Linked DNA regions of Notamacropus eugenii. The protein of the gene in region 3 interacts with the protein of the main gene of each other region in a biochemical or structural test. Links are inferred from orthologs where the notes say so. Each region holds a gene or a part of one and is shown on either strand. Other genes may lie near its edges.

Region 1 (7,067 bases), on a different chromosome or scaffold from region 3:
TACATAGGGAAAGCAGAGGAGGAACAGAGAAAGACCAACTTTGCCCACTTCAGGTTTTGCTTTGGGTTGGCCTCAGGTTTCAATAATTAATACTGTACGATGAAAAAAAAAGGCAGCTTTAGGATTGCCTTGTGTGGCTCAAACTCTGTCAGTCTGAGTCTGAGGTGATGACAAGCATCTCCAGCCCAAGGGTCGGTTCATGCAAACTCAAGCATGAGTATGATTATTGACACCAACAGGAAATCTTATCAGCAGCTCTCAGGCTAGGAGCCCTAGAACAAGAGCGCTCAAAAGGGCTAAGGCTTCTGGGTATGACATCTTTCAAGTAGATATTAACAGATAGTGTTTAAGCTTCTATCTGCCGCTGAGCTTATGTGCTGCCTTGGGCCAGTCCCATCTACTTTCTGGACCTCTTTTTCTTTATCTGTAAAGAAACTGTCCCTTCTCACTCAAAGGATTCCAGTTTAGCTTGTTTCTTTTCCAGTCTGCTCTTCTCCTTGAGGCTGGGGACAGGACATCCGTGGCATGTGGCCCAGAGGAAAGAACTATTTATTTTCATCCTGGAAGTCTGCAGCAATTTATGTGGCAGATCAGCCTGTTCATAGGCTGCCCTAGAATTGAGGGAAGGGTCAACCCCAAGGCCACAGGCAATACCAAACCAAGGAATGGAAATGGTACCAGTATAGGGGTGTGCCCTTTCTGAAGTCTGAAGAGGTGAAGTCCCAGCTAAAATCCCATCTTCTTCAAGGAAACCTTCCTCATTCCCCTTAATGCTGATGACTTCTCTACCTTGATTATCCCCTATTTATCTTACATACTTATTGTTTGCACGTGGTTGTTTTCATGTACCCCCCACTAGACCGAGAACTTGTAGAGAGCAGGGATTAATCTTTTGCCTTTCTTTGTATCTCCTGGGCCAAGTATGGGACCATGCACATAGTAGGCTCTAAATAAATGTGTTTTGGACTGACTGACTGAGATTAAAGCAGCACTTTCAGTGAAAAAGGAAACAATACATTCCGGGAAAGAGGTCTAAGGCTCGGATAGCTCCAACGAATATGAAAAGGCCTGCGGAGACTACTAGGTTGCCTTAGAGTGAAGACTTCCTCTTTGTTCTCAGTCATAAGACCCCCACCTGTCTTAGGGGAATGGTGACTTTCTGGTTTCTATAATAATGGGTTCCCAGGGAATCCAGGTTGTGAACTGGAATTATAAAAACTCTCACCTCCTGCTGGGGTACTCTACCAGCCTGGCCCTGGGTGAATTGTGGGAGGGAACCCAGAGGGGACCCTACCCTAATCTCCCTCTCTGACTCCTAGAAGGATCATTTCCTTCTTACTACTGATCCACACTGCTTGTTCTTGACCCAGTGCTGCCTTCTTCAAGAAAGAATCTTGCTATTGCTACATCTGCTTCATGACATTCATTCATTCATTCATTCATCATTCATTCATTCATTTATTCATTCATCCATCCATCCATCCATTCAACATCTGTTATGTGTCTGCCCTGTATTGGGTGAAATACAAAAGTTTAGGTCTGATACAATCCCTCTGTCTTTCTTGCTTTTCCTGCTCCTTGGGCTTACAGACCTGCCTTCACTATTCTTGAGTGCCTGTTTCCCAACTAGACAGATGTTGCCGAGTCACCTCTAAAATGACAGGCAGTTGGTGCTGCAGTGGATAGAGAACAGGGACTGGAGTCAGAAAGACCTGAGTTGAAATCTGACCTCACGAATATACTAGCTGTGTGACTCTAGACAAGTCACTTAACCTCTGTTTGCCTCAATTTCCTCAAAATGGGGATAATAATAGCACCTCCTTCCCAGGGTTGTTGTGAGAATAAAATGAAAGAATATTTGTAAAAGTGCCTGGATTGTACACAATGTTTATTCCCCTTTCCCTTCACTTCTAAAATGAGGGAACTGTCCAGTCCAGAGGGTAGATCTGGGCAGCTTGGTAGGTTGCAAAGGTTTTTTGCTGTAGGGGTTGGGTGGGGGTGGGGTAGAGGGGTGGACCATACACACCCAAACCCAGACCTTCTCTGAGACTCTCCCATCTCTCAGTAATGATCTCCTTGGAAATCAGGTACGTAGGTTGCTAATCCAAAACCAGGTGTTTGCAAGCAGCTACAGAGAATCTGGGCCTGAGGACTCCCATAATACTTTTAAGATTCCAAAAAAACCTGGTTTCTTCCCAGGGCTAGTCCAGTCCAAGTTAATTGGTGTGTTCAGTTTCCCCAATCCCTGTCAATTTGAGATGACAAGGGAGACTGAAAGGAGGAAGGATCTCCCAGAAGCAGGGGAAAATCCATTCTAGGCCTACATAGGAAATATGTTAATTTGTCTTAATATCTTAATCTTTAAAAGGGAAAAAAGGAATGCAGAGAATTGAAAGCCTCTAGGTTGAATGGGGGGGAGGGGAAAGTTGTCTCTCAGGTCAAAGGGGATCTATGTCTGTGAGACAGGTCTCTGTGGTAGTGGTGTATCTGTAGAAGTAGAGATTATGTGTTAGGGGGTCCACGTGTAGGATGTTTCAGGGTTTGGGGATGGTCTGTGATTCTGGTTTCTGGTATGAGGGAGTCTTTGAGTCCCCAAGTTTGAACTTTTTCTGGGGGAATCTCTCTGGGCTAAGGGTTCTGTGGGTGTTTGGAGGAGGGTGTTCCTGGACTGAGGACCTGGGTTTGGGGAATTGGGAGGGTGTCTCTCAGATGACAAGCCGGGGGGGGGGGGGGGGGGGGGGGCTGTCTTTGAGTTTAATTGTCAGTATCTCTGAACTGAAAGGTCTAGGGGAGAAACTCCTCCAGAGTTCATATGAATCTCTGCAGTCCTTGTGTTTTCGATGGCTGTGCCCCATGACTGGATTGTCTCCCTCCTCTCTGCTGCCTCCTGCCATCCCTGGCCCCTTTTTAAGAGGAGGCTCAAATCCGACCTTCTGCAGGAGGCTTTTCCTAGTCCTCCTACTTCTCACTTCCTCCAAGTACCTTTCCTATGTTTGCACAGTATATATCTTGTATATACAGTTCTTTGCCTGTAGTCTCCTCCATCAGAAGGTAAACTCGGTTTCTGCCTTTCTTTGTACCCCCAGCACTTAGTTCAATGTCTGGCACATGTTGTTAGTTAGCTGAGTGCGACTCTACTGTGAGCCCATGACATGGGAAAAACCATGGGGTTTTCTTGGCAAAGTACCGGAATCGTTTGCCATTTCCTTCTCCAGTGTGTCCTTATTTTACAGATGGGGAACTGAGGCAAACACAGGGGCGGCTGGGGTGGTCAGCCTTAAGTCTAGAAGACCCCTCAATTCAAGCCTCAGACACTAGCTACGTGACCGTGGGCAAACCCCGTTTGCCTCATTTTCTCCTCCGTAAAAATGGCAAACCATTCCAGTATCTTTGCCAGGAGAAGCCCATTACGGGGTCACGACTGAGCGACAAAGCAACTTCCCCAGGGTCACACAGCTAAGAGGTGTTCTTATAGAAACTCAGATCTCTCCGACTTCAGGCCCCGCGATCTCTCCAGGGCACTGCCTCGCTGCCCCTGACTGACATATAGGAAGCGCTTCATAAGTGCTGGCTCGGCAGGGCAGACGCTTTGCAACGCTTGGGGAGTTGGTCTGGGAAGGCGGGGGTGAGGGGAATCTCGGAAGCGTACCTGGCAGGGGTGGGCTTCTCGGAACTGAAGGAGAGGTGTAGGGGATATCTGGACTTAAGGGGTCTTGTGGGAGGGTTCCATCACCAGCTGGAACGGGGCGGGGCGGGGTTGGGCAGGGCCGAACTGGGCAGGACCAGAGCTTCCGAGTCCGTTCCTTCCCGGCGGCGCGCCTCCCGGACAAAGCCTGCGCATTTTCCTGGCGGTGATTGGCTGAGAGTGACGTGCTGACCGCCCCCCTTGGACACGCAGGCCGGGGCCGGCGCGCCGTAACCAATAGCAGGGCTCGGCGCCGGCGCTTCTCTGTATCAATCTCGGAGCTGCCAGCCAATGGGAGCGCCGCTACCCGGCTCGTGCCCCTTTCGCGGCAAAAAGGATTTGGCGCGTAAAAGTGTCCGGGACTTTGCGGGGATCAGCTGGAGAGACCAAAACAAGCTCCCAGCCCCGGCTCCGGTCCCGGGCATTGCTCTGTCCTCCAGTCTCCCGCCTCGGCTCCATCCGTCTGTACGGATCCCATCACTACTGAACCCCGGAGTCCAGGACCGCGCATGGGCCAGGGCCCTCTCGGAGCCTCCGGCAGCTCGCGCCCCAGCCCCGGTCCGGGGCCCTGAGCCCTCGCCGGGCAGGCCAGGCCGAGCCGGAGACTATGGATCTGGGATCCGGAGCAGGCTCTAGTGCCGAGACCCCCGGCAGCGGATAGTGCCCCGAGAGGCGACCGCGGAAGCCCGCCCAGCCTCGGGCCGCGCCCCGCCCCAGCCCTCCCGGCCCGCCGGCCAGTCCCTGTCCCTGGGATGTGAGCCGGTGCCCGGGGGAGCGAGCGAGCCAGCGGAGCCGCCATGGCCCTGGACGGCAGCGGCGGCGGCGGCGGCACGTGCGTGGCGGAGCTAGAGGCCCTGCTGGGGGCTGGGGGGCTGCAGCTGCTGGAGCAGCAGATCGTCATCATCTCCACCCAGGACGAAGGCCCGCTCAGCGCCGCCGCTGTCCCCGTCACCGCCGAGGGGCCCCGAGAGGCCGAGTTGCTGCTGTTCGCTACGCCCCAGGCGCCCCGGCCCGGAGCCAGCGGACCCAGGCCTGCCCTGGGCCGGCCTCCGGTAACTACTCCACTCCCCGCCCTCCCAGCACCATGGGCGGGCCTCGGCCCCGGGCATCTCTGTGAGCATGCATCTCCACGGCGGGACCCGAGCGCCAGGGGCCCTGGGCAGCTTTCCAGGGCTGATCCCACGGCCAGGAGGGCGGCTCTGCGGGCGGGGGCACGGCTGGAGGGGAGTCTAATCGGCTGTACCAGATGGATGGGTTTGCGCCAGAGGGAGCCCCCTTGCAATGCGCCTGCCTCCGGGGTGGAGCTGAGCTGTGGCCGCCTCACAGCGCTGGGGACTCTCTGTACCTTTGCCCTCTCAGAGAACGTGGCCTAGTGCTCCGAGGCCGGGTCTGGATAGGAGGGGGGCGGCGGTGGAAGCTGGCTTTCTCCTCCCACTGGACGGTGGGCTCTGGCCTTTAGATACTCCCAACCCCCTCCACTCAGTGGAGAGACCCGACTCTGGCTGCCGAAGGGCAGCCCTTGGCCTGGGGCAGAGCTGAGATTGAGGATGGACCCTGGGTGTCAGTATTTGAGTCTGTTCAAAGTCCTGTTTTATTAACCACATCACCGGTGGCAGTAAAATGAGGTGGTGGGTTTGTGTCAGTAGGAGTGGCTACACGCTGTAGAACAGGAGTGCTCTTTGCCAGGGCTGGAGTGTGTGTGTGTTTGGGGCGGGGGGGAGGGGGGGGCAGATCATAGTTGATTCAAGAGGAGGATGAGAAAGAATGCTGTGGGGTCCTATGCTTGCAGCTGCCCACCCAGTGCCCCTGTAACATCTGCTGAGTGCCCCTGGGTACTCGAAAGGTGCCCAGGTGTGGGCGCTGCCTTTCCCGGCTCTGCTCTCTTTGCCCCCAGAAATGGACCAAAATTGAAGTGGGCTGTTTGTGTGAGGCCTCGGCAAGGCGGGAATGGGTTCTGCCTCTCCCCCATTAGGGAATGAGGGTACAGCCTGGAGTGGCAGCTGATGTTCTCCCTCCCACCGCCCCCTCCATCTGTTGGTCCTCTCCACCTGCCTTCATATTTTCAAGGGGCTTGTTGCCATAGTGTCTAAATGCTCAGTGAACTTGTTCAGCTCCCCTAGGCCCCCTGGGGGAGGGGAAGGGAACGGGTGACTGAGCTGGTCCTTGGCCTCTGTGGTGTGGTGCCTGGGTGGCTGGGGGAAGGGCTGAATGAGGCAAGAGGGAGCAGTTGAGCTGCTTGTGGCAAGTAGTCTCCCTCCCTCTGCACCTCAGCTGCCCTGCCCCTCTCATCCCCCTTCCCTCCCTCCATTTTCTCTATGAACCTGTAGAACCTGGTTGGGTTCCCTTGGGTTGAGACCAAAGAAAGCTCTCTCTGCTGTTGGAAGCCAGACACCAGGCCCTGGGTTTGGCCTTAGTATCTGGTCCTGATAGCACTGAGACCCCTGGAGGTTGGTGGTCCTACCTAAGAGGAACTAATGTGGGAAAAGGGGGAGTTAGGAGAGCTGGCCTCTGTACCTGGGACAGTGAACTGTACAGATTGGGTTTGGCCTGGGATTCCTAGGACATGTTTTGTGGTCAAGTCAGAGTCCTAGGGCCTTTCCAAGGGACTTCCCCAAGGATATCTGGGATATTGATGAGGCTACTGGATTGTGTAGTCTGGAAGAAGGAGGAGGCGAACCCCAAACAAAACCTGTCTGAAAAATTAAAAAAAGTCTTGGCCCTGGGGAGTGTTGAGAAAAGGGAATTACAGCAGATGCACCAGTCATGTTGGGAAAACTTCCTGAAATCTAGGCCCTTCTTCAGCAGCCAGCGATTCCGATTGGCTGTAGTGTGTGTGTGGCTGTGTGTGTGTGTGTGTGTGTCTGTGTGTGTGTTGGGGAGGGAGATGAGACTGCAGTGGTTTTTTGGATAGAGGTCGTAGAAGGTCTCCAAATCATATGGCAAACCCCCACTGTGGGCTGTGATAAGGTGCCCTGCTAAGTTGGCTCTCCTGGGTAAGTCAGGGAGAGGAGATCCCAAAAATGATCTGCAGACCTACCTCGTGCCCATCTGAGTCCATGCCATATGGGTTTCCTGCCTTCCCTTATTGAACTGGAAAAGGAGCTGCATTCCCAGGGGACTGATAGTGGTGGGGAGTGGCACAGAGGCATCAGAGTGTAGAGGAGAGAGTCCTAGATTTGTGGTTAGATTTGTGGTTAGGAGCTGGGTTCTAATCTAACTTCCACCACTTATCTACTTATCCCTCTCCAAGTCACTTCCCTGGTTTCCTTATCTGTCACACAGGGCCTCATGCCTCTATATGGACTCTGATGTCTCCCTTTTCTCCTTGCCCTGTTTTGGGGGCCTAGTAAGGGGAGGGTAGGAAGAAGCCATACCTCCCAGT
Region 2 (7,319 bases), on a different chromosome or scaffold from region 3:
TGGACAGATATTGCTTCTGGCGGAATTTTCTCTCCAGAGCCAGCAGCTGTGCCGTAGTGAAGGGAGTCCGAGGTTTTCTGTTCGTCTTGTGCTTCCTAAGCGTGCAGGCCGGAGGACTGAGCCGCCCTGAAAGAAGGGAAGGGGCGGGAGAGAGGGAGAAAATATAAAGTGAAGAGAGACACAGAGAGAGAGAAGAGAGAGAGAGAGAGAGAGAGAGAGAGAGAGAGAGAGAGAGAGAGAGAGAGAGAGAGAGAGAGAGATCACTGATTAGTAATGCACAGCAAAGGGTACAAAAAATTCCCACCGATTCCCACGGAAGCTTTCACCTCCTTAATGTCTCCTGTGTCCTCCAGGCCTGGCACTCCAAGTGTCAGCCCTTGCCTTACCTTGCTTTGATCCCCTCTGTCCCGAAAAGAGACCTAACCTGACCTTCTTTGGCCTGTATAAGGAAGACAGGAGAGAACCCCCGGGGAGTGAAACTGTGTCCTTTCCTTTCCGTGCAAAACCAAATAGATTTAAGGAGAGTCAGGGAGTCTGCATCACCAGAATAGAAAAACCATAAGGAGACAGTTCAGGAAATTGTGCTGCTGAGAAAATCCTAGATTCTAAGCAGAGCTAACTTCGAACATAAATTGGACAACTTTAGCACAGCGCACCTACATAGCCCGTTCTTCTGGCCCAGGAGAAAAAGATTAAACACGTAATTAATTAAGAATTCTAAGTGAAAAACTCTTGCTATTCTGGTTGAGGCTCTGCACCCCAGCAGAGTTGCCGGAAGGCTTCTCTAGGAAAGGTTGCAATTCTGAAAAAAATAAGGTAACTTTATGAATTCCAGAAAGTGAAATTCTAATTTTAAGTGTTACAGGAAATTTCAAATGTCTTTTGGATTGACTGTGTGGGTAGGGATAAGAGTGGTATCAAACTATCATTTAATACCACCCTCTCTTCTCCCAATTCAATGGGAGGAAGATACTCTAGGGAAAAAATGAGCGAAGAGGATATTTAAGCATTTGAATTCAATGAAAAATTTCCCTGAGTTTTAGCTAAAAGCAGAGAAGCCAGAGGAGTCTAGTAGATGAAACATAATTACCCTGCAGTGAAGTCATAACATTTTTTGTCGGCCTTCTTTAGTCGTTAAATGAAGGGAGGGGCTTTCATTTCAAAGAATTTTAATCCCCAGATAAAATCGTTCTTAAAGATCACGGCATTGAATTGCTTCTATTATTCCACACACAAAAAATAGTAATAATCGAAGGAAATGAGGAAAACTTGGGAATTTCCCGTGCTATTTAAATCCTTCTGAACACAACCATCTTTATAAGTTCAGGGAGTGTGTACAGGAATGACCACCACCACCACCCCCATCTCCCAATCGCTCCAGCTCCACTTAATTGAAAGCAGGTTAGCAGAGTGCCAGAAGACAGTTCAAGTTAAAATTGGGTGCTCACTGTACTCAGCTGCCCGAACCAAAAAGCATTTTGGTAGCAGGAAACTAAATGGTCTCTAAAGTATCCTTTGAACCAAAGTGAATGTCCTCACTCCCTAAATAGCTTGCTGACCTTCTGTTAGGAAACTTGCAAACGCTTCAGCCAAACTAGATCCAGAGGAAGGGGTTCTTTTAACTGGTGGGCGGGGGTGGGGGAAATAGGGACAAGGAGTGGTTGGAGCGACAGACCAAGGCATCAACCAACATGAAAAATGACACAAACAACTTCGGATAACGTATGTGACAACAGAGGTTTCCACTCCCCGCTCTCCCCCCCGCGCCCCTCCCTGCCCCATTTCGGTTGATTTTGGTCTGAGAGGGGCAAGGGGACAGTGGAGTAGGAAGAATAGGATGTTGGGAAATGATTTACCCACAAGTGGGATTCACCAACAACCATAGAGTTCCGGGAGGGGAGGGAACATTCACAGAAGAGTCTGGCCTCCCACCAGACCTAGGACTGACGCTTCCCAGTCTCACATTTTAAGAAAACTCAAAAGGTCCGTTATAAATGAAAGGACGATGCTGTGTGGTGAACTGTAACTGGAAATCCGGAGACCCGGACTTTCTCCACTTACTAACTGTGGACTAGGGCAAATCATTCTTCTCTAGGACTTAGTTTCCCCATTTGCAAAATGAAGGACTCCCAGGTCTTCAAGCCCTGAAACTGTGATTGTAACATGCATACCCGTACATGTCTACAAGCAAATGCATACAGACATGACTGTACACGCATACATGTTTTTTTTTCTAATCTCCCCTACCTACCTACCTTTATAAAACAAAAACAAAAACAAAAATTTTTCAAGGACCGCCATCCCAAGTTTCCTACTTACTAGGGGGAGGTGGGGAAAATCTGGAATTCTGCATCCATGGGGTCCTCTCCTGCTTCTCAGGACTTTCGGATTTGACAAGTGCATCTTCCGGCAGTTTTATGAGTCCTCCCACCGAAAAATGGCTGTTGAGAGACAGAGGAGAAGCGGGCGTTTCTGGGCCAGCCCCGGCGCTTAAGGATCCGACCCTGGTGCCCAGGGACTGAGCCGAAGTTCCCGCTGTCTGGGGCCCATCGGGCCCGGGGAGGGCGTCTTTGAGCCCTGGCTTCCTGTGGTCAGCCATGAGTGCCTCTACGCTGAAAGGCAGGAGGGAAGGGGGCACTTTCGGCTTCTCTCCTTCCTCCTCTCCCCCCATAGCGGCCGCCGAGGCGCTGGGAGTCTGGGCGCCCCCTCCGCCTCCCGAACTGTTGCCGCCGCCTCCCCCACCGCCGGGCTTGCTGAAGGCAGACACAGGAGACTCCTCGATTTTGACACCGATTTGTAAAGAAGTCATATCAACAGCCGGGGCCATACAGAGCAGATGTCCCTTCCAGCCTCAGGACGCAGCAGAAGCCGCCACCGACCATGGGGTTGGGGAAGTTTTCCTGGGCAGTTTTTACTTAGAAACGCACTGGCTCTCGGGTTCCCCACCCTTTCTTCTGCTCTCTTCCCAAAATGCCAGGCTTCAGCGGCTAGCAACTCACAGCTCTCTGCCTCTCGCTCTCTGGGATTTGGGTACTGTCCAGTCGCGGCTCCCAGTAGGACTTGTTAATAAGGCAAAGCAAGCTTGCTCCCGGCCAATCAGGGTAGAGAGGGGAGGAACAGGAGCTCTCCATTGGGCCTCGGGCTCCGGGACTTACCTACTGACAACCTTCTCCAGTTTTCTTGTTCGGGATGGACTAGAGCTAGCTGTAGGAGATGGGGGTGGGGTAGGGATAGGGATAGGGGTGGGGGTATAGGAATAAAAGAGAAAGAAGACGGGGGAGGGTTTTGTGAATGGGAAAGTTAGCTCCGAACTAAATATTTTTGCGTTTCCTCTCCTTCGCTTCCCTTTCCTTTTCTCTTCTCCAGTGTCTCTCTTTTTCTGTCTCTTATTCCAATGTATTCATGTTTCCTCTCTTTCTTGGATTTGGTTTACCTTTTTATCCAGATGGTGAGATTCGTTCTTTCTTCGGACACAGCGGTCTATGTCTCTTTGTTCGAGTTTATGAAAGCAAAACAAGACCAAGAGCAACCTAACTTCAAAGATTCCTGGATAGAGATGCACTTTTTCTAAACAGAACTTTACCAGAAAGGAGTGATTCACATTCACTTTTCCCTCCTGTTTTGGAATTAAGTGACATTACATACAAAGTACTGAGATGGTGGGAGGAATTTTTTTGGGGGGGTGCGCCTCTTTTCTGATTTAAGACTTATCCAAATAGAACCAGCACCTACATGAACAAAATCCAGGGCTGTCCTCAGAGTGACCTCAAACGGCAAGCCTTTTAAAACAACTTGATCCTACCAATTTTCTGCATATACATACATATTTAGATTTTTTTTAAAAGCACCCCCAGTGGGGTGGAGAAAAGTGCAGGATGGGAAAATAGAGAATTAAATGTCCCCACATAACTCTGGTTATCCCTTGTGTTTGGTGTGAAATGATTTTATTTCTCCATTTAGAAGGAAACGTCATCTTATGCTACATATATATGCATGTGTATCTACAATATGAATATATACAGATATATTAATATATGTGCATTAATGTGTGTACATATACATACATACATATATAACCATCATCACTAGAACTAAGACTCTTCCAGGCTGTGCTCGGAAAGCACTAGAGACCTGACTATTTTATTCTGTCTTCCCCCTCCCATTTTTATGATCTCTTATCCCTGTGACCAGGATGGACCGGCACTAAAACGGAACGGTTCTCTAATAACGTGATTGGCCGCTCGCTGAGAAAAGTTTATTGATGGCTACAGGGCTCTAATCTCCTAGAAACACAAGAGGCTTTAGCAGCCATTTAGGGGTAATTATCTCTAAGGCTGTGGGACAGAGAATTCCCTCTCCTTTTAACTGGGCCCAATAAAGGCTGTAGATTATGCTCATAGAGATTAAGAAAACGGATGGATGAGAGAAGAAACTTTAGAAACACAAAAGAAATCAGGTCTGGGAGAAAGGAATAATCTTGTGCACTGTGCAGGGGGTGTGAACAGCCACCATTCCTATTTTGTTTTTGTTTTTTTTGTTTTTTAGGAGGGGGTACAAATCCTGTGGGATATTTTTAAAAGGCCCTGGCGCCTCCGTGTGTAAAATTCGCCTGTTAGCCTAACTGGAAGTTTACATCATGTCTTCGGGTTCGTTACAGACCTGAATAGAGCAGGGAAGTTTGGGTCTTCCGGGCGTGCTTACTGAGAGCAAATCCGGGAGAAGGTAGAAGCTTTCACCTTCTCATTTAAATTTCAACGTGGTTTGGGGGATAGGGACCCAAGGAGCTGGGAGATCTGGGAGTCTAAGCGGTTTCGCAAGATGTAGGGGAGCTCAGCCCTACCAAGAGGCCATCAGTTCTCTTAAGAGCCCTCCAGTTTCATCCGCTAGGTGAAAAGCCCCTTTGCTCCAGGTTGGCCGGCTCTCTGCCCCGAGGCTGCGGGGTTGGGCTGATCTGAGGAGCAAAGAGCAGCCTCTGCTCTTTCCTAGAAGCAGCAGCATTGCTAATTGCGAGAATAAACAATCTGTCCCGATTAGTCAGTGCCTCTAATAGGCAGACAAGTGATGTTGTTTTTAGGCGCCAGCAGCGGCCTGATCAAAGGCTTCAACTGGAGTGGGACTGTGGAAGACTTTAACCCTCCTCCAGGGAGCAAACCGCCTTAGCCTTGAGACCCCAACCCATTCAGCCTGACAGCTTCAGTTTGCTCTACCCCTCCTCAGGATATTTTCCACAAATTCTGGTTTTATTTTTTAATTTTTCGGTCAAGGCTGGAAAACAAGCAGGATTTTCCCCGGCTTTTTGCTTTAAGTAGGAATGAAGGCGTGTGTATCAGTGTGTGAGAGAAATCTAGAGATAGGAATAAATTCCAAGTACCCATCATAATCATTGTAATAATAGAACCCCTTCCGCCTATTGATCTTGGGCTGCACCCTCTCTGAATGGCTCTGCCCGCCTGCTGCCGGCTCTCAGAAAAGAGTTACTGGAGAGAAGAATAATGTGCTGTTGGAGTCGCTGATCGCAACAATCCCTCAGGGTTTTGATCGTATTGTTTCTGGTGAAAATATGAATGGGGAGGAGGTGGGATGGGAGGAGAGGAAGGGAAAAGATGTATCTAGATTCATGTATGTATGTACACAGTTTTAGTTTTAAGAGGGTGTTGAAGGGGTTTTGGCGAAGTTAGCTTAGCTCCATTTCTTGGGATTGAGCTTTGACTGGGGAGCCCAGAGTGTATGACAGGATGAGATGATTATGCCATATTTATTTCGCAGTAATGAACTTCAGTGTTTACATTTTTTTCATACTTGGTGGTATTTTAATCATGGCATCACAGGAGAACCAAGTTGATTGTAATTCATATCCTGGCAAGGACTTGTCTTCCCAGAGACAGATAATGTACAAAGATTGGAGTTTCTCCTTCCTTTTCCCTGTTGCATCCCCCTTTAACTTACTCAAGCCCCACTGTTTTAGGGGCATTTTAAAGACTTCGGTTGACTAACCCCTCCACTCTCACACTCTTTGAATATCTAAGCATTGTCAGATTTTCTTTTATGAACATCTAACTCTGTCTCTCTGCCTCTCTCTCTACGTCCGTCTGTCTGTCTCTGTCCCTTCGTATCTGTGTCTGCCCAAGTCTGTCTGTCTGTCTGTCTGTCTGTCTGTCTGTCCGTCCGTCCGTCCGTCTCTCTCTCTCTCTCTCTCTCTCTCTCTCTCTCTCTCTCTCTCTCTCTCTCTCTCTCTCTCTCTCTCTCTCTCCCCTCTTCCTCCTTGCCTCCCTCCCTTTCCTCTCTCCCTCGTCTCTTGAAAGCATACTTGTACGTCTGTCTGGAGTTCGCAAAGGGAACATTTTTTCAGGTATACTCTCAAAGTTCTTTCCATCCTTTCTCTAGGTTCGGTTCCTTTAATAAATCCATAGCAAGGAAATTCCTCCCTGGAAGTAGGAGAGATAGACAAGGCTCCTGCTCCATCCGTTTTTAGTCTCCATCCCCCCTCCCCCCCCCCGTTTTGTTTTTAATTTGCTTTGTAGCAGTTGCTGAAGTGGCTCTGTGTGTTTATTTGAAACGAGCTGCTCAGTAGGACACTGGCGCTAGATAACGATATTGCGCAATTAGCGTCTCAAACAGTAACCGTTTAATATAATGAATGTGCTGTGAAAACCGATTACCCATAGCATTTTATTTTGGTGCAAATGCAGCAAAGGAGTCTAGGGGATGAGGAATCCGGGAGGCAGCAGGAGTGCTATGATCCCCGTCCTTCGCAGGAGCTACTTTGGAATTCGGGTCGGGACCCGAGGAAAGGTTGCATAGACCGTGGTTTTGCCTTCGACTTTAGGGTATTGAGGAGGCAGCCTGAGCGCTAAAATGCTGGGTGGAGGAGGTATGCAATTTAGAAGATGGAAAAGAAATTGTTGGAGCTTTGCGAGTCCTTCGAGAGCATAGTGCTCGAGCTTCAGCCAAATGAGAGTTTAGAGCAGAAGTTTTCCTGCTTCCTCAGCTCCGCACTATGAACATTTGCCCCCAAACTGCAATGTATTTAAAGGGACAAATCCCTTCCCCTCCCCTGGTACCTTGGACAGACCTGAAGTCTGGGCTTCTGTGCCTTCTATATAGTAGAGATCTCAAAGTTCCCAACTCATTGCTCTCTAGTTCCCCTCATCTAGTGGGGCCGAAGCAGGATACTCCACAGTGAAATCCACCAAGTCACTTGGGATTCTAGGATTTTAAAAGGCGCCGTCGCAGAAATTGACCTCCACCCTGTCTTACCTCCTTTCCTTCTCACGTCACCCCCATCCCCACTCCCACCCCTCCCGCCCCACTCCCTTCTT
Region 3 (7,551 bases):
GAGACTTCATCTTATCCACAAAGGTGCATATAGTCAAAGCTATGATTTTTCCAGTAGTAATGTATGGCTCTGAGAGTTGGACTATAAGAAAAGCTGAACACTTCAGAATTGACACTTTCAAATTGCGCTGCTGGAGAAGACTTTTGAGAGGCTCTTGGACAGCACAGAAATCAAATCAGTCAATACTTAAATTAATTCAGGCTATTCAGTGGAAGGTCAAATATTGAAGCTTAAGCTTAAATAGTCTGGGTCACATAATGAGAAGATAGAACTTACTAGAAAAGACTCTCATGATGGGAAAGATGGGAGGCAAAAGAAAATGGGGACAGCAGAGGATGAGACAGATAAATAGTGTCATGGAAACAATGAATATGAACTTGGACAAACTTTGAGAGATAGTGGTCTGTAGCACTAAAGGAGCCTGTAGTGATATGGTCCATGGGGTCATGAAGAGTGGGACATGACTGAAGAGCGACAAGAACAACAACTTCCTGACTCCAGGTCCAATACTCCATCCACTGAGTCACCTAGCTGCCTCATGTGTCTCTAGTACAGTATTTTTCATGTAGTAGATATGGAATATAATATGAACTGAATATGTGAAAAATGTACAGACATAAACATTTAAAATAAATTTTACTTATCAGCTGTTCTTGGTGATCAAAGATTTCTTAAGGGGAAGGCTCAACTTAAGAAGTAGTTAATAGTATGTGAATGATAGAACTCAAACAAGCATGATCTATCAATAATGTTTACTAAGTACCTACCTACCATGTGCTAAGTTCTGCATCTACAAGAGAAAATCTGTTAACAACTATAGAGAAATTTAAGATAGTGTTTCAACTTGGGCTATCACAGTAGCATAGAGACTAAAGACCCATAGATTATGGAGTTTTGGAAGTGGCATTTATTTCCTAAATTATACAGTATATTGAAAAAATTATCAGTTCCCCAGCGGGATGTTAATGTCGCTATACCTGCACCTCAGCATTCCAGTTCGAGAGTTAATTTGGACAAGTAGAAAGGGTTAGAGAGGATCTAGAATAAGGCCAAGCTCCTCTGAAGTAGGCTAACTTTTTTAAGAGGGAGGAAGGAAAAATAAAGGACAGAGGAATACTAATTACTCTGTTCTCTCACTTGCTGATCTCATCAGTTCCCATGTATTCAATTACTGTAGAAGACTCCCAGATCTAAACACTTGACCCTCCTCTTTCTCTTAAGCTCCACTTGCTTCAAGAAGTGTTTACGGGACATTTCAAATTGGCTATCCCATAGGTATCTCAAACTCAGAAAGTCCAAAATAGACCTTTCTTCTCCCCCCACCAATCAACTTTTCTTCCGGAACCTTCCCTGTTACTGAGGACAGCAGTCACACCAACCACATTCGCTACTCAGTCATTCAACCCCACATAACCAACTACCTTCCATTTCTTGTCTCTTTTATCTTCATATTATCTCCTCTATATGTTGTCCTCTTCTCTCAACTAACACAACCACCACCCTATTGAATGAATTACGCTAGCCTTCTAAATTGGAACGTCTCAGGTATCTCTCCATTCTCCATACAACTGCCAACGTGATCTTCCTAAAAGCACAAGTCTGACCATGTCCGCTTCTTCATGACCCCATGGACACAGCACACCAGTACTATAGATACGGGAATGGTTTGCTATTTCCTTCTCCGGTGGATTTGGGCAACCAGAAGTTAACTGACTCGCCCAGGGTCACAAATCTTAGACCAGATTTGAACCTCCAGGTCCAGTCCACTGAACCACCAAGCTGCTAGGAACCATGTCAGTCTCTGAATCAATAAATTCCGGTGACTCTCTATTACCGCTGGGATCAAATATACATTCCTGTTCATTTAAAACTCTTCGAAACCTGCCCTCTGTCTTTCCAGTCTTCCTAAACATTTTGCTTCTGCAGAGGCTCTGGAGGTCAGCTGTAGTGACCACCTTGCTGTTCTCCCCTTTCCGTGCAACTGCACTAGCAATCCCCCACCACTGGAACGCTCTCCCTTCTCTCCCCCTCTGAGACTTCCCCGCTGCTACTAAGTTACCCTGACTGCCGTCTGCATCTCGTACGGACTTTTACAGGACCGTGCTGTCTTCCCCGAGGGGCTCCCACTGTTTGAAAGGCACGGGCTGTAGTCCATCTTCCTTCCTATGCCCCCTTTTAGCACGGTTCCCAACCTCTAGGAAGTCACTTAGTAAGTGGTTTGTGGACTGACCCAGCGATTTCATGGGTATAGAAAGGTTCAGAAAACGCCATCATCTCGAACCATCACCTACAGAGAACGTAAAGGTGTGAGGGCTGCTCGGGGCACTGAAACTGGTCCAGGGTCACCAAGACGCCGGGAGTCAGGGGAATCCAGGTTACCCCTCGGGTCCTATCGAGGTTATCACCCAGGTCCGCCTGCAGCGAGCCGCAGGCACGCCTCTTCCACGGGTCACCGGCACGTGCGCAATCTTCCCTCCGCACTTTCCCCGAGCTTTGGAGGAAATTACCGGGAAACGGCCCCAAGCCCAACAATGCCCTGGGCCGGGGGACCGATCGAGCGGCCAGCGGCTGCCGCGTCCAGGGCCCGGCGCGCTCCGGCCGTGAACCCCCGAGCACCTCGCGCCTCCCTCCGGTCGTTCCTGCAGCGCCCCCCGCCCCCCAGCCGCCTCCCGCGCGCCAGCCAACCCTCCTCCCATCCCCCACTTCCCGAAAAGAAGCCCGCGCGCGACACGGCGGCCGTCGCCTCGACCGCCCCCACCGAGTCCACTCCCTCAGCTTTCCCCACCTCTTGACTCTCCAGCGAGGGAAGAAATCAAAAGAATGATACCTAGAGTCTCTAAAGCCACCGCCGCGGCAGGTGAAACCCGAGGTCGGGCCGGAGGCAGTCTCTCCGCCCGCCACGGCGACCCAAGCCTACCCGGCCTTCCTAACCTCCCGGCGCGCCGAGTGACGCCACTTCCGCCATCTTTCCGTTTAGCTTCACTCTCGCCTGCGGCCATTGACTTATATAGCCATGTTCAGTGTGGGCAGTCATATCACTTCCGGAAACGCTCCCACGTGACTGGGAGTGGGCGGTGCTAGGGAGGTGTGTGGGCGGAGCTGGTAGCTAGCTTAGCTCTTGTGGTGCTGCAGCCTTGGTCTCTGGAGCGAGGCTTGAATAGCCGCTACTTGTGGCACTTGGGTCTTTCTGGAGAGGCGCGTGTTCACGGCACCCATTCCCATCAGTTGAGCGGGGCCCTTGTCACTCTGGGTGCACTTTGCCTGGGACTGTGGTTTTCAAACTTTTTGTTAGCCACACCCCTCCTAAAATGTCTTTATTACTACTCCACCCCCTCCTTTTTATAAAATAATCAGGTAAATAATTGCCATTGTAAAGGTTTTATGAAGATAAAATTAAGGAAAAAAGAAATCAAAAAGTTAAAAATCCCTAAGTAAACACTAACACATAAAAATAAATCCCATAAAAAGCGCGTAATTGCCTCAATTCAGGTTTTATACAAATAAAATTAAGAAATCACTGCTCCACCCCACTTCTTTTCATAGAATAAGCAACAAAACAGTTCTCTGTAGGTATCTGGGGGCAAAAGAGATGGGCTTGGCCCGGGCCTTTTGTTGGTAGTCAGCTTATCCAAGATCCCCAGAGTTTTCTACCCTGAGACCGCCAGCCAGTTCCAGTTTTACGTGCAAAGAAGCTAAAGGCTTCCTAAACTCACATGATCGTAGGCAAGCTTAGACACATCCACCTCAAAGTTAACGTTTGGTCACTTTGAAAAAGGCTGCCAGGGACCCGGTCAAACGCTCACGTGGCAGTGTTGGTGGATTGGGAAGAAAGAACATAACCTATTCCTCCACCATCTTCATGAAGAATCTAGAGATAGCTTATTACTTGTCCAATGGAAGAGTTGAAGCAAAGACACTGAAGCTGTTTCTTCTTTTAACTAATATGGTATCTCACCCCCTACTTCTGTCATGGTGGCATGGAGAGAACTAAGAAACCCTTCCAAGGTCATCCAGAATACCTAGTTATTTCAGTGCCAAGTTACTCCATGACCAGAAGTAGACCCCAAAGTTCCCCACTCTGGTCAACTAGAGGGCAGCTAGATGGTTCAGATGACAGGGCACCAGGCCTAGAGTCATGGAAACCTAATTTCAAATCTAGCCTCAGATACTAACTGTGTGACTCTGGACAAGTCACTTAACCTGGTTTGCCTCAGTTTCCTCATTTGTAAAATGAGCTGGAGAAGGAAATGGCAAATCATTTACCAAAAAACCCAAACAGGGTCATAAAGGGTCAGACACAACTGAAACTGCTGTCCAACAACTTGGTCAATCAGAAAGAAGGGCAGTTCTGAGGACTGTTCATGGGATAGCTCTAATTCAAATTTCCCTAGCCCCAAGTATTTATTGATAAACTCTTTTATATTTTGTATCCTTTACTCAGATCTCTCCCTCCCCTCAACATGGGAGTCAGTTTAAATTGACTAGATTCATCAAGGTAGGAGGGCTGACCTCAGATCAAGTCAGATTTCTCTATTGGTTTGCTCCCATTTAGAAATTTCCAGCAAAGCTAAGACTTGGATCATGTTTAGGGTCGTCTCTTGGTTATCAAATGTGGAACGGTTTTTGTATGTCCTTAATAGAAACTGAATATACACAAAGGACTCAGAGTTAGACATAAATAATAAAACACTCAAATATTCTATGAGAGATGATGTTTAAATCCTTGGGAACTGGTGAAATTACCAAGTTTCTATGCAGATGACTTGCAGACCTATATATCTAGTGCCATTCATTGCCCTGATCTCTGATCTTGCATTGCCAATAGCCTATTGAACATTGCTTTTAAAAAATTATATTTCCTTTTTTTTCAACAAGTAAAATTCCATCTTCTCTCCTTCTTTGAGGATGAAAGGAAGAAAGCTGTTACAAACAAGTTGTTACATGGTACAAACATGTAAAGTCAAACAAAACACATAGCTGTATGGGCCACATCCAAAAAACCTTTGTTTTATTCTGCACTCTGAGCCCTTCATCTCTCTATCAGAAAGTGAGGAGCATACGTAATTGTTAGTACTCTGGAATTGTAGTTGGTCATCACACTGATTAGCGTCCTTAATTCTTTCAAAGCTGTGTGTCTTTACCATGTTGTTGTCATTGTATGCTTCATCTATTCCAGGAATTCTGGTTAAATTTTTTTTTGGCCTATGCTGCATTTTTCTTTGTAGTTGTTTTGAGGTAATTTTCTTCTGAGTTTGTCTTCAGCATCCCTATCACCATAAAAACTCTTCATGATGGGATTTTTGTTTGTTTATTTTTCAAGCTTCCTTTCTGACTTTAGACTTAATTTTAGGGCCAAGATCTGTACACTTTTGGAGGGAATATCTGAGCTGCTTCTACTGCTACTTTCTTGGCATATTGAAATGTTGTGTTACTTCATAATCTCAGGAACAACTCAGGCTTGGAGTTTTCAATACTCCTAAAATTGTCTGATTCAGTGCAAAGTCTGATAGCTGCCTGCTTAGTCTGACCTCTGAAACTTCCTGGTGTGGGTAGTAGTAGATTACTGCTGGACTCAGCTATTATCAGCCATCTGAGAAATGCTGCTGGTTGAGAGTAACAGAATTGTAGGCTGGCCTTAGCTCTGGAATTCCTGCCTTGGTTATTACTCTGCAAGTTTCAGGGTGGGCTAGAAGCTAGAACTGAGACCCCTTTCTCCTCCTGGGATCTGAGCCACACTGCTGCTGCTTGCTTCTCATCTCTTTATACAATGTCCAGCTTCTCACCCTCCCCAGTTACCCCTTATAACCACTTTTTTAAAAGAGGAAAAGAAAAAAATTCAGCAAAATTGACATAAAAAAATCAGATATTTTATGTAATATTCTTCACTGATCAGTTACCCCAATGCAAAGGAATGTGTGTGGGGGGGGGGAGGGGGCAAGGAAATGCCTTTTTATATGTTCTTTTTGAAGCAAGGTTGGTCTTTATGATTTTGTACCAATATGGTAATTTTCACAAACTTTTTTAGAACTGGAAGGGACCCCAAAGATCATCTCTTCTCACCCTCCCCAGTTTCATGGAGGAGAAAATTGAGTCTGGGAGGAATTAAGCAAATCAATCCAAGGGCAAAGCTGGTACTTTATTTATTTTAGCTTTTACAAAAGAATATTTTTATGAAGAAGATATCGGAGAAATAAAAGCACAAACCCCTCCAAAACCAAAAGTACACTGTTCCGGACCAGCTCAGTCGCTGAAGAGTTATTAAACATTTTCCCCACCAAGTGCACTTTACTCGCAGAATACAATGTCTTGGCTGCCAGGCCATTCCATTGTTGGGTTGAGTGAAACAGACCAACCCTTAGTGCTGGCTCCTGATGAAAGCTGGTACTTTATCTATTTTTAAAATTTATTTATTTGTTTTTAGTCTTCAACATTCACTTCTATAAACTTTTGAGTTTTGAAAGCTGTAGTTTAACAGCAGGCTCCGAGCTGGATCTGGAGGCAGAGGGCCTGGGTTCGAATTTTGCCCTTCCTTACCAGTCAGACCCTGGGCAAGGCACTCTGGACCTCACATCTTCATCCAAGAATGGGGGGTGGGAGGGAACCTCTCCATCGTCTGGGTAACTCTCCAACACCGGAGACAGGTGAGAAGGTGCGATTGCGTCGGTAGAGGGAGCTTGCTCCTCCGGGAGCTCCCAGAGCCAGCGTCAGGAGAGGTCAGTAGGTGCCAGGGCTGAACCTTGAACCCGGGACTCCCTTTCTCCAAGGACAGCTCTTCAGCGGAGGCCTCTGGGCTTGTGCTTGTTAAGGGCAGCACTTGAACGCAGGACTCAGAGGTCGGTTCTGTATTTTTACATGGTTTGAGCTAGTAAAGCTTCCCAGAACAGGTAAGGCCAAACACCTGCTTCGAGCCCAGGACACTGGCGGTGAGTCTTCTCTAGCTCCGAAGGGAGATCCTCCCTGAACCCCTCCCTCTCACGTCCCCCCCCCCCCCCCCACACACACAGCAAGGAGCCCCAGACAGCGCTTCCGAACCGCAGGGGGCGACGTGCCCGCAGGAGCGGACCATAGAGTGTAGAGGAGCTAGAGCGGCTTTGCCGGAAGCGGAGCCGGGCGGGGGCGGGATCCGGAAGTAACTTAATTTCCGGCGTGGCAGCCATCTCTCGGTGAGACAGCAGCCAGAGGACCGTTCCTGCCGCCGCCGCCGCCACCGCTGCGGGATGTTGTCTGCTGCCCCCTTCGCCGCTGCGTACCCGGGGCTCGGGACGGAGCGGGAGCTGGAGCCTCATAGCAGCGCGGGCCCCGTGCAGCGCCGCTTCTCGCCCTACGCCTTCAACGGGGGGTAAGGGCTCGCTGGGCCTCCTGGCACCGCCGCATTCCTCAGTGGAGGCCGGGCTGCGGACCCGGCGTCGCTTTCACTTTCGATTCGCTCCGGCGCCCGGATCCTGAGCCCGATCCCCTTCCCCGGGGACTTCAGGCCTGCCTTCAGCTTCCCTCTGTGCCAGTCGGCCCACTGGCCTGCGTTCATTTGCAGAAGGTCGTGCCAGGCTTTGT
Region 4 (7,942 bases), on a different chromosome or scaffold from region 3:
ACAAGTGGAAAGAGATGCTAGCCAAGAGCAAAGCCATTTTACATTATCTTAGATGGTGGCCTAGGAAGAGTAAAATTGTGTTTTAAAAAGTGAGACAGCATACAGAAAAATAAGTTTATAGAAAGCTTGGTAAGAGACCCAAATAAGCAAAAGTACTTGGAATATTTAAGGATGAAACTTCACTGAGGAAAAATGGAACACAGACATTAAAAATTCTTAAAACAAAAGCTTTTCACCACAAATCTGGACTCTTAACTCATAGTCTCTGAAGTGCTGCATGAAGAAATAGAAATGGCACCAGAGAAAATAGGTGAGACAAAGAGCTAGTTTAGACCAAGGACACCCAAAACAGTTTGTGGCTGGAGGTAACACAATTTTGAGGTCACTGAGGCATAATAGACTTTTGAAGCACAGAAAGAGGGGAGAACAACGAGGACATGGGAAAAAAATTGGAATTTATTATCTAAAAAAGGCAACTGGGAAAAAATATCAACTCTGAATTACTTTTCCACATCTACAAAAATTTTGAGAGCATAATCTACACATGCAGCAAGGAATATAGTTTTTCTTTTTGCATAGTAAAAAATGATTCCACTCATAAAATTTGAATAAATTTATATGCTTTTAACATAGTCAAAGCTAGTGTTCATTCCAACACACCACAAGAAGGCAGGGACCCATTAGCAAAATAAAATAAGACAATAAGATAATTGTGAGATAAATTACATGGCATAAACTATTAACAGTTTGGGACTTTACAGAAAAGGGGGCTACTGAGTCCTGGAACAATCAAGGAAGGCATTATAGAAGACCTACAACCTAAGCTAATAAGCCTTGCATGTTATTGGAGAATACACCTGTAGGGGATTAGAAAATCCACTCCCTAACCCTTCTCATGAAATCCTGAGGGAAGAAGTACAAAGTCAATTCTGTTCTGGGAAACCAGCTCATCATTGGGAGAGGGAGTCAAGGGCCACACAGTGTTGTTATCTCACTTGCAACAGAACTTTCCAATACGTTAACAAGTTAAGACTCCTCACTATCCTCTAGGCACACCATGCTTTTTCACCCTATTTACCGCTTTAGCTCCTAAGTTCTCTTTGTCTAGAATGTCTATTTACCTCTGTCTAAAGCTAGGTCAACTCTTCAAGGCCCAGCTCAAGTGAAAGCTTCTCCTGTCCATTCCCCCCCACCCTTAGAGACCAGTGGCAACGCAGGTGCATATGAGTAAAACAGATTTTTTTTTTTAAAAAGTCAACTGATTCTCAAGCATATTATTTTCATGCTAGTGGGTTATTAGAAGTTTACCTTATTTCCATTAGTCTCTGCGACAATCCAAGAGGAAATAGCGCACTCCTACGAAGTAGTAGATAGGAGAACTCCTATGAAGACCACTAGCCTGACATGGAGTCCAGAAAAAGCTGGGTTCCCACTCCCTCCTCAGATACGCACACAGTCGTGTATTCCTAGACAAGTCACTTAACTTCTTTGTACCTTGGTTTTTTTCGTCTGTAAAATAAGGGACTAGATACCCTCTAAGGCCCGGAATGTACTTTGTATGCACTCTAAAAAGTTATAAGAGGCAGCTAGATGGTGAATGCTCAGAACACCAACTACCGGTTCAAATGTGACTCAGATCCTTACTAGCTGTGTGACCCTGGTCAAGTCACTTAACCCTGATTGCTTCAAAACAATTTTTTTTTTTAAATAAAAAAACCTTTATCTAACCTAGGGTTTTTGTAATCTAAATCTGCCATCCTATGACTTCCCTCTTTCTCATCAAGGATCTTCCTTTAAAGCAGTATTTTAATTACGCATCCAGAACCTAGCACTGGAGGCAGTAAGGCATAAACAGAACTCACTCACTCTACACCATCAAGGGACCCTGGTCTCGGGGCTGTTCGTTCCTCCCCTGGGGAACCTCCACCTCCCTACTCGGAGTGTTTTCGCCCTCCGTGACTGCTGGATTCCCTAGCTTCCTGCAGGTCCCGCCTCTGTAAGAAGCAAGCCTCTCTCCCAGGGCTCTTTAATCTGGGTTCTTTCCCAGAGACCGACCCCAATCCGTCCGGGCAGTAATCTCGTTGGTACCTGGCTACGGGCATGGCAGACCTCCTCGGGGAGCTCCTGGCGGGCAGGACCTGCTCTGGCCTTTCTCTGGCTCAGTCAGCATAGTGCCTGGCACATAACAAGCGTTTAGTAAGTAAAATATCGACCAGTTCCTACTAATAATACGTCAGTATAACGAGTCCTTATTTATTAGCCCCCACAGTGTGCCAGGCACTGTGCTAAGCGCTAGGAATGCAAAGAAAGGCCCCAAACTCGAGGGCTAACAGTTTAACTGAAGGCTCTGCGGCGTGGGAACCACAAAACTTTACCGGGTCCAACTGTCTTCGAACTAAAGGACGGTCTAAAGGAAGACCCCGGCCCGGGTGGCCTCCTTCACCCTCCTCTCCTTCCACACCCTAATAGGGTCCCCTCCGCGAGGCCTCGCGGCCGGGCCACAACTGAAACCCCCCAGGACTCCAGTGAGACCGCAGGGCACGGCGCTCTTCTCCTCCGTGAGCCTCAGTTTCCTCTTCTGTTAACTGAGGGAGCTGGACCAGCGCTCTGCGAAGTGCCTGGCTCCCAGCAGGCCCTCGGTACGAGCTCGTGGACTCGCCCAAACGTTCCCTCCCGGCTCGCTCGGGTCCTGAGGCCCCGGAGCACGCCGCAGGTGAGCCTGGGGAGAGAAAGGGGCCCGGGAGGGAAACCAGGGGCCCAGGGAGGATAGCCAGCGGCAGGGAAAGGACCAAGACCTAAGAGGCACTAGGGGGTGATGGGAGGAAGTGAAAGCCTGGTGCGGCGCAGAACCCGGGGCTCGGGGAGCCCCACTCACCAGAGACAGGCGGCAGAAGCCGGGAGACGCACGCTCAGCAGGCGAACCAAGGGCCGTCCACAACAAAATACGTCACCAGCGCGACGCTGACGCCGCCGAGGGCCCGCCGCGCAGCCCTGCTTCCGCTTCTAGCCCCGCTCCTCCCGGTTCGAGCCCCGCCCCTAGGCCCCAGCCCCGCCCGCCCGCTGCGTAGGACGGGCAGTCTCCTCCTCCCAGGAAAGACTGCTCGTAAATACATCTAACCAATCAATGCTGCAAAAAAGAGAGTCCTATTCCCATTAACCAATGAAATAGCGGAGAAGGCGGGGTATGGGGCGGTACCGTGTTCAAACAAGGTCTGTGATTAGTAGGTTCTCTATCAACCTGCCCTAGACCGGGAAAGGCTTGCTATTAACCAGTGGCGGCAAGATGGCGTCGTTGGATCGGGTGAAGGTGCTAGTGTTGGGGGACTCAGGTAAGTAGTCCTGGCTTTGTTCTCTGCTCTCGACCACGCAGTGGCTGCCGAAGTTCGCTTCCTTCCTCATGGCTCTTCTCCCCGCTTTTAAGTTTTTCGGCTGGAGTCAGAGGCTCCGTGGGAACGGAAAACTACATTTCCCAGAGGGCCTAGCTAGGGAGGTCGCTTGTGTGGGCGGGGCTCCCTCTTCCTTGGCTCCCATGCTTTTGGCCTACTCTTAGTTGTGCCTTACTTCTCCAGGCGTTTTGCTTCCTTTCTACTAAAAGTACGTGAACGCCTGTGAGGGTGTTGTTGGGGCAGGAGGGTCTGCATCGTTGGAGATCGTAGTCACAGGAATGACAGCCTAAAACTGTCAAAATACGAGGGGTATACAAAAAAGAGGAAAAGGCTCCCTGCCCTGAAGGAGCTTACCATCCAGCGAGAGACAGAACATGCCAACAAGTAGTGACAAAGCAAGTTATATCCAGGACAAAGACGGGAAAGGCAGTGTCATTCCAAGGGGTTGGAGGTAGGATACTAAGAGGTACGTAAAGGAAGCCAGGGAGGTCAGTCGTTGGAGTGAAGGAGGGAATTGACCACCGAGTTAACAAAAACCTTCATTAAAAATCCAAAAACCATGCTTGGACTGCTGCCTGGGGCCAGGCCAACTGGATCTAGGCTATGAACTGCAGTTTGCTGACCCTCGGTTGGGAAAAGGGATCTTGGAATTGCAAATTAAATTTCACGTCAAGTTTATCGATCACCAAAAACACCGCTAACATTCACACTTCGCCTTGCCCTGCTGTTTTCTTCCTTCTGTCCTATTGACCCGGCAAGACTGTGTTTAAGCACCACTTCCATTCCTCCGTCCTCTGCAGCTTTACGTTTAAGTCATGTATCTGTGCAAACCAGACACTTGGTTCTCTATTCCGTTAACCACCTGACAACACAGTCCCAAACCGGCTTGGAAAAGGGCACTAGGCTGATTGGGCCGGGATTCAAATCCTATTTAGACTGTGGGCGAGACTCTTGGTCTCAGTTCCTTCATCTGTAAAATAAGAGAGTATTCATAAATGAAGGGAGTCAGTATGGTGCTTTCTACTAAAAAACAAAAACCCCAAACTGATTTTAGCTTACCTCTCTCACTCCCTCTTACTATAGAATAATTCCTCCAGGTTCAAGAGACTCTGGATTTGCATCTACTCAGAACAGAACAAACCTCTACTGATGTGTCTGTTTCTTCCCTAGTGAGCCTGAGGACACATTTATTTTGAAGAAAATGCACTTAATAAAATAGCATAATAAGGAATGAACAATAGATCTTCCCCCCCCCACACTCTCCCTTTCCCCAATAAGGCAACATATACTCTGCCATACCTATATACATTTTCAGTGGAGAGAGTGAGCAAACGTAGAGATCATGTTTGAGGAGCCCACGCTTGGGGAACATATTTTGGGAGTGAACTGCTGGGCTCCTGATGAGTTCTGGTCATGTGCTTTTGACTGAGTCGGTGTTGGTTTACTGGGCTTACTGCCCCTACTCCTGCCTGGAAGCAGCACCTCTGCTGGACTCTGTCAGATGCTTTTTGACTTTAGTCTGCACTCCCTCCAGCTTCCGGCACAGCCCTTGGATGCTGCTGCTTGAAGAAAGAGCAGAAATCATTATATTAGAAAACCTCCCCCATCCTGCTTCTTCAGAGTCTCAAACTTGAAGCTTATTTTCCCTCAAGCAGGAGATTCTCAGCCCCAAGGGCTAAGCTCTGGAACAGTGAACAAATATCCTAGACCTTTTCCTTCTCTTTAATCATCCCCAGCCCTCTTCCTTGTAGAGGGCTGGGTATTTTAAAGGACCTCACCTGGCTTACGGTGATTGTCAGATACACTTCCCCAGTGTTCATCTTTGCAGGGTAGGCTATAAACCATATAAAAACCATAGGGTCATAGAATTATAGTCTAGCACTGGAAGGTCCCTGTAAACTTACAGGTCACTAGAATATACCCTCCACGTGAGAAAGGACTCAAAAGTCAAGTAACTGACTGGAAAAATGCCCTAAAAAGGGGGGAAAAAATAAAACTATAGAATGTTACTTTCTCGGTGAAAAGGTATTTTCTTCCATCCTTTTGGATGAGGAATAATAAAGCATGCCATCGGAGGAAGACATCAAAGTCAAGGTTTCTACATCTAAAACTTCCAAAAAAAAATATGCAGTGATCTCAAGTCATAGAAGAGCTCAAAAAGGTTTTTGAAAATCACCTAAGAGAGGTGGAGGAAAAATTGGGAAGAGAAATGAGAGCAATGCAAGAAAATCATGAAAAGTGAGTCAATAGCTTGTTAAAGGAGACCCCCCAAAAAATGCTGAAGAAAATAACACCTTTAAAAATAGACTTACCCAGATGGCAAAAAGAAATCCAAAAAGCCAAAGAGAAGAAGAATGCCTTAAAAAGGCAGAATGGGCCAAATGGAAAAAGTGGTCCAAAAGCTCATTGAAGAAAATAGTTCTTTAAAAATTAGAATAGAGCAGATGGAAGCTAATGACTTTATGAGAAATCAGGAAATTATAAACAAAACCAAGAGCATGAAAAATAGAACTCAATGTGAAATATCCCCTTGGAAAAACAACTAACCTGCAAAATAGATCTAAGAGAGATAATTCAAAAATTATTGGTCTACCTGAAAACCATGATCACAAAAAAGAGCCTAGACATTATCTTCCAAGAAGTTATCAAGGAAAAGTGCCCTGATATTCTAGAACCAGAGGGTAAAAAAGAAATGGAAAGAATTCACTGATCACCTCCTGAAGGAATTTTCTTTCCTAGGAATACTGTAGCCAAATTCCAGAGTTCCCAGGTCAAGGAGAAAATATTACAAGCAGCCAGAAAGAAACAATTCAAGTATTGTGGAAATACAATCAGGAGAACACAGGATTTAGCAGCTTCTACACTAAGGGACTGAAGGATTTGGAATATGATATTCCAGAAGTCAAAGGAGTTAGGTTGAAAACCAAGAATCACCTACCCAGCAAAGCTGAATATAATACTTTAGGGGAAAAATCAAATTTCGATAAAATAGAGAACTTCCAAGCATTGTTGTTGAAAAGACCAAAGCTGAATAGAAAATTTGACTTTCAAATACAAGAATCAAGAGAAACATGAAAAGGTAAACAAGAAAGAGAAGCCTTAAGGAACTCATTAAAGGTGAACTGTTTACATTCCTACATGAAAAGATGTTATTTGTAACTCATGAGACCTTTTTCAGTATTAGGGTAGTTAGAGGGAACATATATGTATATACATATATATATTTACATATATATATTTATAGGTGTGAATGGGTATGTATGTATGTATGTGTAGGTGTGTATATGTACATATGTGTATATATGTATGTGTGTATATACATATATACACATATATTTGTAGGTGTGAATGGGTATGTATGTGTATATTACGCATGTATAGGTGTATATATGTACATATGTGTATATATGTATGTGTGTATATGCATATATATATATACACACACACACACATAGAGACCACAGGGTGAGCTGAATATGGAAAATACCTAAATAAAATTTACTGTTGAATGGAATATACTAGGAGTAAGAGAAAGGGAGAGGTAGAATATAGCAAATCATCTCACATACAAGAGGGAAGAAAGAGCTTTTACAATGGAGGGGAAGATGGGGGAGATGAAAGGAAATAAGTGAGCCTTACTTTCATGGGATTTGGCTTAGGGAGGGAATAACACAAACTCAATTGGATATGGAAATCTATTTTACCCTGCAGGAAGGCGGGGGGAAGGGGATAGGAGAGGGAAGATAATAGAAGGGACAGCAAGTTGGGGAAAGGGATAATCAGAAGCAAAAACTATTATGGGAGGACAGGTCAAGGGAGAGAATGGAATAAATGGAGGGCAGGATAGGACAGAAGGAAATGTGTTTAGCCTTTTACAACATAACTATTATGGAAGTGCTTTGCATTGTTACACATGTATGACCTATATTGAATTACTTGTTTTCTCAGTGAGAGTGGGTGGGGAGGGAGGAAGAGAATATGAAACTCAAAGCTTTAATAATGAATGTTAAAAATTGCTTTAGCATGCAACTGGAAATTAAGATATACAGGCAAGGGAGTATAGAAATCTATTTTGCCCTACAGGAAAATAGAGGGGAACGGGGATGGAAGAAGGCTGGGTAATAGAAGAGAGGACAGACTGGAGGAAGGGGTGGATGGGGTGCATGCTGTCCTGGGATGGGGGGTGGGGAGAAAATTTTAAATTCAAATTCTTGTGGAAGTGAATGTTAAGAACTGAAAAATAAATTGTATTTTTAAAAAAAGGTCAGGGTTTCCCACTGCATCTGGGGCCATCCCCAGTCATCCTGGTCTGCATATTGCCACTGAGTGGAGATGTTTCAGGTGAAGATGAGGCTGGTGACTTTGCACAACACTGCCTCACTTAAATCTAATTCACTTGCAAATGGAAACATAACCCTTCTTGACTCATTGGTCTTCTTTGAGAAGGAAGGACCTATGGTAACTTGAGGCCAGTCACTTAACTTTTCTTAGCCTCAGATTCCTCATCTATAAAACCTAATCCCTGGGAGGAAAAGGGGGGCGCAGCTGTGTGGCAA

The links.
Region 1: the proteins of TBP (region 3) and E2F1 form a complex in vitro, tested with the Homo sapiens proteins (2 studies listed by BioGRID). The link is inferred for Notamacropus eugenii from reciprocal best matches to the Homo sapiens genes TBP and E2F1.
Region 2: the proteins of TBP (region 3) and MSX1 form a complex in vitro, tested with the Homo sapiens proteins (2 studies listed by BioGRID). The link is inferred for Notamacropus eugenii from reciprocal best matches to the Homo sapiens genes TBP and MSX1.
Region 4: the proteins of TBP (region 3) and GTF2E1 form a complex in vitro, tested with the Homo sapiens proteins (3 studies listed by BioGRID). The link is inferred for Notamacropus eugenii from reciprocal best matches to the Homo sapiens genes TBP and GTF2E1.

What each region holds. Positions count from the first base shown.
Region 1 is NC_092872.1:417,786,105-417,793,171, reverse strand, and holds the start of E2F1 (transcription factor E2F1), read left to right. Parts: upstream 1-4,008; 5' UTR 4,009-4,482; coding exon 4,483-4,737; intron 4,738-7,067. UniProt on the Homo sapiens protein: Transcription activator that binds DNA cooperatively with DP proteins through the E2 recognition site, 5'-TTTC[CG]CGC-3' found in the promoter region of a number of genes whose products are involved in cell cycle regulation or in DNA replication.
Region 2 is NC_092877.1:61,337,094-61,344,412, forward strand, and holds the start of MSX1 (homeobox protein MSX-1), read right to left. Parts: upstream 3,027-7,319; 5' UTR 2,828-3,026; coding exon 2,320-2,827; intron 127-2,319; coding exon 1-126. UniProt on the Homo sapiens protein: Acts as a transcriptional repressor. Capable of transcription autoinactivation.
Region 3 is NC_092873.1:267,360,793-267,368,343, reverse strand, and holds the start of TBP (TATA-box-binding protein), read right to left. Parts: upstream 3,005-7,551; 5' UTR 2,786-3,004; intron 2,672-2,785; exon of another isoform or gene 2,292-2,671; intron 1,514-2,291; exon of another isoform or gene 1,422-1,513; intron 1-1,421. Other genes in the region: PSMB1 (proteasome subunit beta type-1), read left to right, coding at 7,218-7,339. UniProt on the Homo sapiens protein: The TFIID basal transcription factor complex plays a major role in the initiation of RNA polymerase II (Pol II)-dependent transcription.
Region 4 is NC_092876.1:345,122,169-345,130,110, forward strand, and holds the start of GTF2E1 (general transcription factor IIE subunit 1), read right to left. Parts: upstream 3,027-7,942; 5' UTR 2,876-3,026; intron 2,176-2,875; exon of another isoform or gene 1,309-2,175; intron 1-1,308. Other genes in the region: RABL3 (rab-like protein 3), read left to right, coding at 3,284-3,329.